Linked DNA regions of Coturnix japonica. The protein of the gene in region 1 purifies or fractionates together with the protein of each later gene. This does not show direct contact. Links are inferred from orthologs where the notes say so. Each region holds a gene or a part of one and is shown in the gene's direction. Other genes may lie near its edges. The genes, in order: LSM1 and PATL1.

Region 1 (3,629 bases):
TTTTGCTGGCAGTACTTAGAACCGCTGCTTTGTTTTTGTCTCCTGGAAGCAAACTGTGCTTGGAGAAAGGAGCACTGAGCAGCTGCATGTGTGTATTGCGGGGGAAGGCAGCATGAGCTGAGCTCTGGCTACAGCCAGAATCTTTGTGTCAGAGCCATTAAAGCATCACTGTACCTTCGAGTCCCACACAGGAGGATGAGCTGCAGTCCTGCTGCCAGTCCAGGGTGGTTGTGATTCAGAGAGGAATGGATTCCCATGTGCTGGAGCTGCAGGCCATGCATACCGTGCCTGCACCCCATAGTGAGGGGGAGCCCACGCCTCCTCCTGAGCCCTGGGCTGTGGGTTGGCCCCGGGGCTGTGGTCTCCATATGGATACTGAGGAACGGGCATCCCTGGGGTCTGTGGGGAGAGGGGGACAGATGTAAGTCCTAAGTCAGCTCCCAATGCCTGTGGCAGAAGGAAGCTCTGGGATGAGCCCCAGCACTGGGATGAGCCCCAGCACTGGGACTGCTGCTGCTTTCTGCTCCAAAGCTCGTGACCTCAGAGCTCCCAGCAGAAAGGGGCAACTCCAAGTTCTTACAAGAGCAAGCAGGGCGAGCTGGGTGGGACATAGAAGCCATTTGGGCCCAATTAGGGTGCACTGTGGGTTCACCCTCTATGGGGTGAGCAGCACAGGAGCTCTCGCTTTGCTGTGCACACCCTAAATGGTTTCTTACCTGCGGTGGGGAATACCCAGCAGCCTTTTGCCTGCGCATTGAGCATCCCTCTGCTGGGCAGTCCTGTGTGCCACAGCCCCAGGGAGGGGCAGGAGGGGGGGGTCGATATGGGGCTGAGCTGTCGGTGCTGTAGGATGGACCTGAAGTGCTGTAGGTTCGTGTTTGTGGCAGTGAGGTGTAATGGGGAGGGTATGGGGCGCTGTAGGATCCGTTGGTGTAGGGTGAGTCCATAGCCTGGGGAGGAGAAAAGGGAAAAAGAGAAAGAAAATGAGCTGAAATGTGTGTTAGGATATTTAATGGGTTATTTCTGTACTGAGCTGTAGGAAACAAGTGGGGCTTGAAGCCCATTGTATCCTATGGCATAGAAATGAAGCACAGCTCGGTCAAAGCCTTAATGGACGGGAGGGGGATGGAAATGGACCCTCATCCCCCAAACCCAACATACCGAGTCCGCTCCGTCGGTGTAGGCCCCAAAACCGAACGCTGGGCTCCAATAACCGGGGTTGAAGCCGGGGCCTGGTGGCTCCTATAAGGAAAAACCCCATTATATGGAGCAGTGATAACGGGATAACGGGCTGTGCTCGGTTCCCCCCCCCCCTTTACCTGCCCGGTACGACCGCGGTGCTCCATGTTTTCAACCCGGCACGCTGTAGCCCACCCCACAGCGCGACACAAGGATAAAAGGCCCCCACCATGCGACCAATAGGATGCGAGGACCCCTGGATGTAACCAATGAAAGGCAGCCCCGCTCGCACTACCGGCGCCGCTTTTAAAGGGACAGTGCATCGCTAAGTACCGCCCAACGTGGGGCGGTTCCGCCACCATGAACTACATGCCGGGTACTGCAAGCCTCATCCAGGACATTGACAGTGAGTGTGACCGAGGTTCTATTCATTCAATAAGGAACCAAGGGGAAAACCGGGACCCGGACGCGGGGGACCCCGGTTTTCCCCTTGGTTCCCATTGGGACCGATGTTCCGTACCCCCGCTTGATCCCTTTCCCCATAGAGAAACACCTGGTTCTGCTGCGGGACGGCCGGACGCTGATCGGATTCCTACGCAGCATCGATCAGTTCGGTACGGATATAATGGGGGGGGATAGGGGGGGCAGCACCGGGAACGACACCGGATCAGGGCTTAATAGAACCCATATGGCTCCGATAGGAACCCAGTTTGTGGTTCCCCCATCCCTTGTCATGTTGGACCCCCACCCCATGTTATATTCCCCCCTTAGGGCAGCACTAAGTTCATCCCCCCATTGACTTGTGCCTATGGCTGAGCCCCCCAGTCTTTACCTCCCTTTACCCCTCTTCTCCCTACCCCCCTTTCCCCCCTTCCCCATTCACTTGTGCCTATAGCTGAGCCCCTCATTCTTTACCCTATAGCACCAGGGATCCCTTTATCAGCTATAGGTAGTGGCTGCTTTGGGGTCCTATAGTGGCTGGGTTTGGGGGATCATGTTGTTTAGGGGATGCTCAGCATATAGGATTATAGTGCTATAATGCAATCCAGCTGCTCCCTATGCTTTAGGCTATGGGTTGTTTCAGGTGAGGTGCTCTGTTTGGTGAAAAACTGGGTGGTTTTGGTAAAAAACTGGTTAAAAACGGGGTGTTTTTTTCTCTATCCCCACAGCCAACCTGGTGCTGCATCAGACAGTGGAGCGAATTCACGTGGGCAAGAAATATGGGGACATCCCTCGAGGGATCTTCGTTGTGAGAGGGGAGAACGTGGTGCTGCTGGGGGAGATTGTGAGTGAGCCCCGTGCCCTGCAGCCCCTCACCCTGCAGCTCTGCTTAACAACAGCTCTTTGCTTTGCAGGACCTGGAGAAGGAGAGCGACACGTTGCTGCAGCAGGTTTCCATCGAGGAGATCCTGGAGGAGCAAAGGTTGGAGCTGCAAGCCAAGCAGGAGTCGGAGAAGCTGAAGGTGCAGGCGTTGAAGGAGAGAGGCCTGGCGGTGCCCAGGGCTGACACGTTGGATGAGTACTGATGGGATGGCAATGCTGAGTGGTGCAGGCACTGAAATCATGGCTTCTGTTCCCCCTTGAGGGGAAAAAAGGAGTGATGGCAATGGGGAACCCTCGGAGGTAACTGGATGCTCCGGGGGGTGCAGCAATTTCTGTTCAGAGATGAAGGTCTCTGTTCCTTTTTGGTTTGTTTCTTTTGGCTCCTCGCCTGGAGCTGAGTGAGAGCTTCCCTTCACCTGTAAATAAACCCCTGATCTCAACAGCAACAGCTTGGCTTGTGTTTGGGCTCTGTGTGGTTATGGGCACAATGGGACTCTCCATGACCTCAGGTGCTGGGCCCAGTTCAGCTCTGTTCACTCAGGTGCAGCTGTTTGCCCCCTAATTAGTTAATTACCTGCTGAGTTGATGGAGCATCACATGTGTGAGGCAGGTAGGTAGGAACTGAGTGGGTTGAGCTGAACTGGGTGCTGCAGACTTCAGCACTTGTAGGTAAGGCAGGAAAAAGCAGAGTTTGGGGTCTTTCATTACCATGTGTTCTCTGATATTATGGGGCTCCTATTGGTGTCAGTTCCTGCCTTACAGCCTGGGCAGTGCCTGTGTTATCTTATTGCCTGCCCCCTGTTGTGTGTGTGTGTGTGTGGGGGGGGGGCTGTGTGTTTATCTCTGCTCTCCAAATAGCATCAAAGCAGCCTTGGGGCAGTGGGGGAGGCTGGGGGGCACCCTGAGGTCCCTGCACATGGAGGGGACATGGATTCAGCCCCCCCTGCTGTGGCCTCTCCTGGGCTCAGGGCACTGTGAGCAATAGCAGTGCATTGGGAGGGCTGAATGTCAAAGGGGATGTGAGGTCCCTGGGTGAGTAAGGAGGGTGTGCAGTGAGGCTGGTAGGGCTGGGACCCCCCCTTTCTTGCAGTCCCTGGGCATGGTGGTGGTGTGGGACACCTGAGGAG
Region 2 (4,477 bases), on another chromosome or scaffold:
TTGTCGATGGCGATTTCCAGCTCGTCGGTGTCATCCTCAGCATCCTGCTTCTGAGGGAAGCAGAGAGGGGATGCTCAGGGGACACCTGGGGACACGCGGTGGGTGTGGGACGAGGACAGGGAGGGGTCGCGGTGGCCCCTGTGCGGCGGGGGGGGGGGCCGGCCGGGTGCCATCTGCTCGCATCTGGCCAGCGGGAATTAACGGATTGCGGGGCTGGGCCGTGGGCGGGGATGGGGACAGGGATGGGGCGCTCCATCGTGGGGCTTTGTGGCCCCCAATTTCACCCCACGGCGGCTCCACGCGAGCTCCCCTCTGCCCCGCATCCCCCCTTGCCATGACCGCGGTGTCGTGCCCCGGCCACCCCCACCCCTCCCATTTCTGGGGTAAAAATAACACTAATCCCCCGCTCCCCCCCGATGGTGGGCAGCGCCTCCCTTAATCCCCGCTAAATCCCCCACGGGCAGCACGGAGGCCGCGGGGCAGCGCAGCGTGAGGAGCACCCCAAGAACCCTAAAGGAGGACAGGGGGCCCCACGCGTGTCCCACATCCCTTCCTGCGCCCCATAGCGAGGACGCAGCCAACCCAAACCCTCCCAGGGCTCAAACCCCCGGTCCCCTCCAGCCGTAGGGCAGCACCCATCATTGGGTACCCCCACGGGTGACCCCCATTGCTGCCCTGCACCCCTCACCGCCCGGAGCTGCTCCAGCCGGTCCCGCATGGTGCCGGGCTGCCAGGACTCGCCGCCCGCCCGCTGCCGTCCTACATCAGCCCCGCTAATCCCCGCTGATGGGCACTCGACGAGGGCAAGGCTGAGGCGGGGCTGCCCGCACCAGCCACGTGTGATCCAGGCACCCGAGGGGGGGTGACAAAGGTGCCAGTGACAGCAGTGTCACCACAGCCTACAGGTGGCCCCGGCACAGGATGGGGGACAGGGGGTGGTGAGGGACAGGGGGACACGGCCATGGGTAGGGGATGTGAGTGGTGGGATGTGGGTTGGAGGACAGGGACATGGATAAGGGATGGGAGTGTTGGGACACGAAGTGGGGACACGGCTATGGGTGGAGGGAACGGGCGGGGGGACACAAGGTGGGGATGTGGCTGAGGGTGAAGGACGCGGGCCGTGGGACGTGGCCATGGATGGGAGGCACGGGTTGGAGATGTGGCTCACAGTAGGGGACACGGGCCGGGGCTGTGGCCATGGTTAGGGGACATGAAGCGGGGGACATGGCCGTGGGTAGAGCACATGAACTATGGGATGCAGGTTGGGGGGACGTGGCCGTGTATAGGGGGCTCGAACTTGGGAGAACGGCCACGGTTAGGGGACGTGAGCTGGGGGACGTGTCCGTGGGCAGGGGTCCCGCGTGGGGGGACACAGGCTGGGGGACACGACTGGAGGGAAAGACCCAGCGGACATCGCTGAGCCGTGGCTGGCGTGTGGGGCACGGCTGGGGCAGCAGCGCGCGGCCGGGGCACGACGGCGCACGAGTGCACGGAGGCGGTCAGAAAAAGGCGGCCTGTCCCTTTAAGAGCCGCCCGCAGTGGGGCGCGGCGCTCTGTGAGCCTTCGGCTGGGCGGAGCTCATTTGCGCATGCGCACCGCACGGACGGGCGGAGGAGGTGACGTCATGCGCGTGCGCCCGCGGCGGCGCATGCGCGGCGGGGCCGTAGCGGGCCGCGCGGAGCCTGCGGGCGGGGGGCGCCGCCGCCGCCGCCATGTTCCGGTACCCGGTGAGCGGGGGGAGGGGCTGAGGGGGCTGAGGGGGCGGGGTCGGGCCGCGGGGGTCGGAGCTCGGGACTCCGAGTTGGGTTCGGGGCCGCGGCTACGGGCTCAGGGTCAGGGCCGTGGGGCCGCGGGTCGGGCTGAGGGTCGAGGCTGTGGGCTCAGGGCCGAGAGTCGGTGTGGGCGCTGTGCTGGGACCGCTGCTCGGGACCGGGGCTGCCGGGCAGGGCTGGGCCTTGGCCTCGGTGGCAGCGCCGGTTCGGTAGTCGTGGTGGTACGAAGGCACCGTCTGCCGCTGCAGTCCCTGGAGGAGTGCCCGCTGGACGAGGAGGAGGACGGCTTCCAGGTGCTGGGCGAGGAGGATGAGGACATCGATCAGTTCAACGATGACACCTTTGGGGCCGGGGCTGTCGGTGAGTTCTCTGTCTCTTGTCCACACTGCCCACCCGGTGCTCTCTGCCGCTGCGCTCAGCCCGCCGTTCCCGTGCAGATGATGACTGGCAGGAGGCCCACGAGCGGTTGGCTGAGCTGGAGGAGAAACCCGTGGGCTCAGGGCAGCAGGCCCAACCCAGCAGTGAGGATGCGGAGCTGCTGGGGGAACCTGAGGATGCGCTGGCGGAGCGACTGACACGGCTGGTGATCGAGAGCGAGCTGGAGGACCCTGCCATCATGAGAGCCGTGCACACCCGTGGGTCTGCTGCACAGAGCGTGACGCTCAACACCAGCATCTGGGATGGCCCCTCTGTGCTGCAGCGCATCCGCACGCCACTGCTCACACAGGTAGGGGCACAACGCTGGGCACACGCAACGAAGGGTTGCAGGAATGGGGGAGGGTTGAGTGTTAGGAAGAGGTTCTTCACCACAGTGGCTGTAGGTGTGGAGAAGGCTTCCCGGAGAAGCAGGCACTGCCCCACACTACCAGAGCTCGAGGAGTGTTGGGGCAATGCCCTCAGATGTAGGTTTGTGTTTGGGGCGTTCCTATGTGGGGCCGGGGGTTGGACTCAGTGGTCCTGTGGGCCCCTCCCAGCTTGGGATATTCTGTGGCTGTTGGGTGAGCTGCTCTTGGACATCACTTCTAGTCCCTGCACATGCTCCCTCTGGGCTGGGAGATGCCACGCAATCCCTGATGGTGTCAGCACTCAAGATTTGGGATCGTCAGTGCCTCGAGCCATAATTGTTTTCATTGCTGGTTGACAGAGAGTCAGGCTTAATTAAGAGCTGGGCGCAGGATCCTTAGGGCTCTCTGAGAACCCTGGCTGGGGCGTGGGGATCTCCAGCACTGGGAAAGCGCAATGGGGCGGCTCCTCTGTTCTATACCACGTCATATTCAGTGCACCTTGCCACCACGTCCAGCTCTGAGTCTTTTTCACAGGGCCACTTTTACTTTCAGGAGATGCCATCGTTGTCCGTGCTGGACTACGCTCTGCCCCAGAGACCCCCACAGGCTCGGGAGGAGGAGCGGGACCCCTCGGAACGGGCACTGCCACGCCGCTCATCCTCCCCCATCATCGGGAGCCCCCCCGTGCGAGCAGTCCCCATCGGCACCCCACCCAAGCAGGCCACCATGCCCAATTTTAACCAGCAGGTATGGCCCCAACTCCTCACAGCAGGTGCAGACCCCTGCACCCCTGGTGAGGATCCAGCGGTCAGACCCCCACTGCTTTCCTTCTCTCAGATCCTGTGTCCAAAGCCTGTCCACATCCGGGCTACCATGCAGCAGCGCTACTCTGCTCCCTACGGCGAGAGGATGTCCCCCAACCAGCTCTGCAACGTACCGGTACCCCCTGCTCCCACCCCCATAACCCTCTGATGCCCCGACTGCATCATACTGCCTAGGAGGACTGTGACCAAGGGGTCTGCTCCTTTATTTTCCTGCAGAACTCTTCCTTGCTGGGCCACCCGTTCCCTACCAGTGTCTCTCCCGTTCTCACCCACCTGCAGCGGGCACAGCTGCTGGGAGGTGCACAGGTAAAGCCCTAGACTCTGTGCCCCCCAAGGCCCATAGGGGCGAGGGTCCAGCATTCTGATGGACCCTGCCTGATCCGCACTCCCTCTGCCCCACAGGCTGGCCGAATTTCTCCTAGCCAGTTTGCTCGAGTCTCAGGCCTTGTTGGGAGCCCACTACCCTCCGTCAACCCCAAGCTGCTGCAGGGCAGAGTGGGGCAGATGATGGCTCCCACTGGTGGCTTTCGTGCCTTCTTCGGGGCTGGCCCCACTCCGCCCTCACAACCGCAGCCTCCGCCGGGCCCCATGCCTCACCTGCAGGGCCTGAGGTAGGCACTGACCCCCTCATGATCATTCACCTGCCCCACGGCCCTCTAACCCCCTGTGCTCCCCACAGGCCGCAGCCCTTCCGACTGGACACCACCCACCTGCACCCCCAGCACCGCCGGCTCCTGCACCAGCGGCAGCAGCAGAACAGAAAGTGAGCACTGGGCGGGAGGGAGCGTGAGGAGGTGGGCGATGCTCCGGTGCCGGCTGTTCTGGGGGGCCCATGCAGCCGGGGGTAGCCTGTGCACCACTCTCTGTCCCTTCCTGTAGCTCCTGTGTGTTCATGGGTGCCCTTCTTGCCTCCTGCCAGCCAGCACCGTGGCCTCAACGGCTCGGTGGGGGACCGAGGGGGCCACCGGGGCAGCCACCAGGAGCAGGTGCGCAAGGACCCCTACGCCAACCTCATGCTGCAGCGGGAGAAGGACTGGGTGTCTAAGATCCAGATGATGCAGCTGCAGAGCACCGATCCCTACTTGGACGACTACTA

What was found.
Region 2: the proteins of LSM1 (region 1) and PATL1 purify together in Homo sapiens (co-immunoprecipitation; 3 studies listed by BioGRID and IntAct, with this or other methods). This does not show direct contact. The link is inferred for Coturnix japonica from reciprocal best matches to the Homo sapiens genes LSM1 and PATL1.

The regions. Positions count from the first base shown.
Region 1 is NC_029537.1:3,644,755-3,648,383, reverse strand, and holds LSM1 (U6 snRNA-associated Sm-like protein LSm1), read left to right. Parts: upstream 1-1,539; coding exon 1,540-1,585; intron 1,586-1,724; coding exon 1,725-1,793; intron 1,794-2,348; coding exon 2,349-2,464; intron 2,465-2,534; coding exon 2,535-2,705; 3' UTR 2,706-2,950; downstream 2,951-3,629. Other genes in the region: BAG4 (BAG family molecular chaperone regulator 4), read right to left, coding at 175-399, 717-950, 1,162-1,242, 1,320-1,541. UniProt on the Homo sapiens protein: Plays a role in the degradation of histone mRNAs, the only eukaryotic mRNAs that are not polyadenylated. Probably also part of an LSm subunits-containing complex involved in the general process of mRNA degradation.
Region 2 is NC_029520.1:202,662-207,138, reverse strand, and holds the start of PATL1 (protein PAT1 homolog 1), read left to right. Parts: upstream 1-1,656; 5' UTR 1,657-1,712; coding exon 1,713-1,727; intron 1,728-2,020; coding exon 2,021-2,132; intron 2,133-2,209; coding exon 2,210-2,499; intron 2,500-3,109; coding exon 3,110-3,304; intron 3,305-3,394; coding exon 3,395-3,496; intron 3,497-3,597; coding exon 3,598-3,687; intron 3,688-3,783; coding exon 3,784-3,992; intron 3,993-4,060; coding exon 4,061-4,144; intron 4,145-4,300; coding exon 4,301-4,477. Other genes in the region: syntaxin-3-like, read right to left, coding at 1-50, 689-718. UniProt on the Homo sapiens protein: RNA-binding protein involved in deadenylation-dependent decapping of mRNAs, leading to the degradation of mRNAs. Acts as a scaffold protein that connects deadenylation and decapping machinery.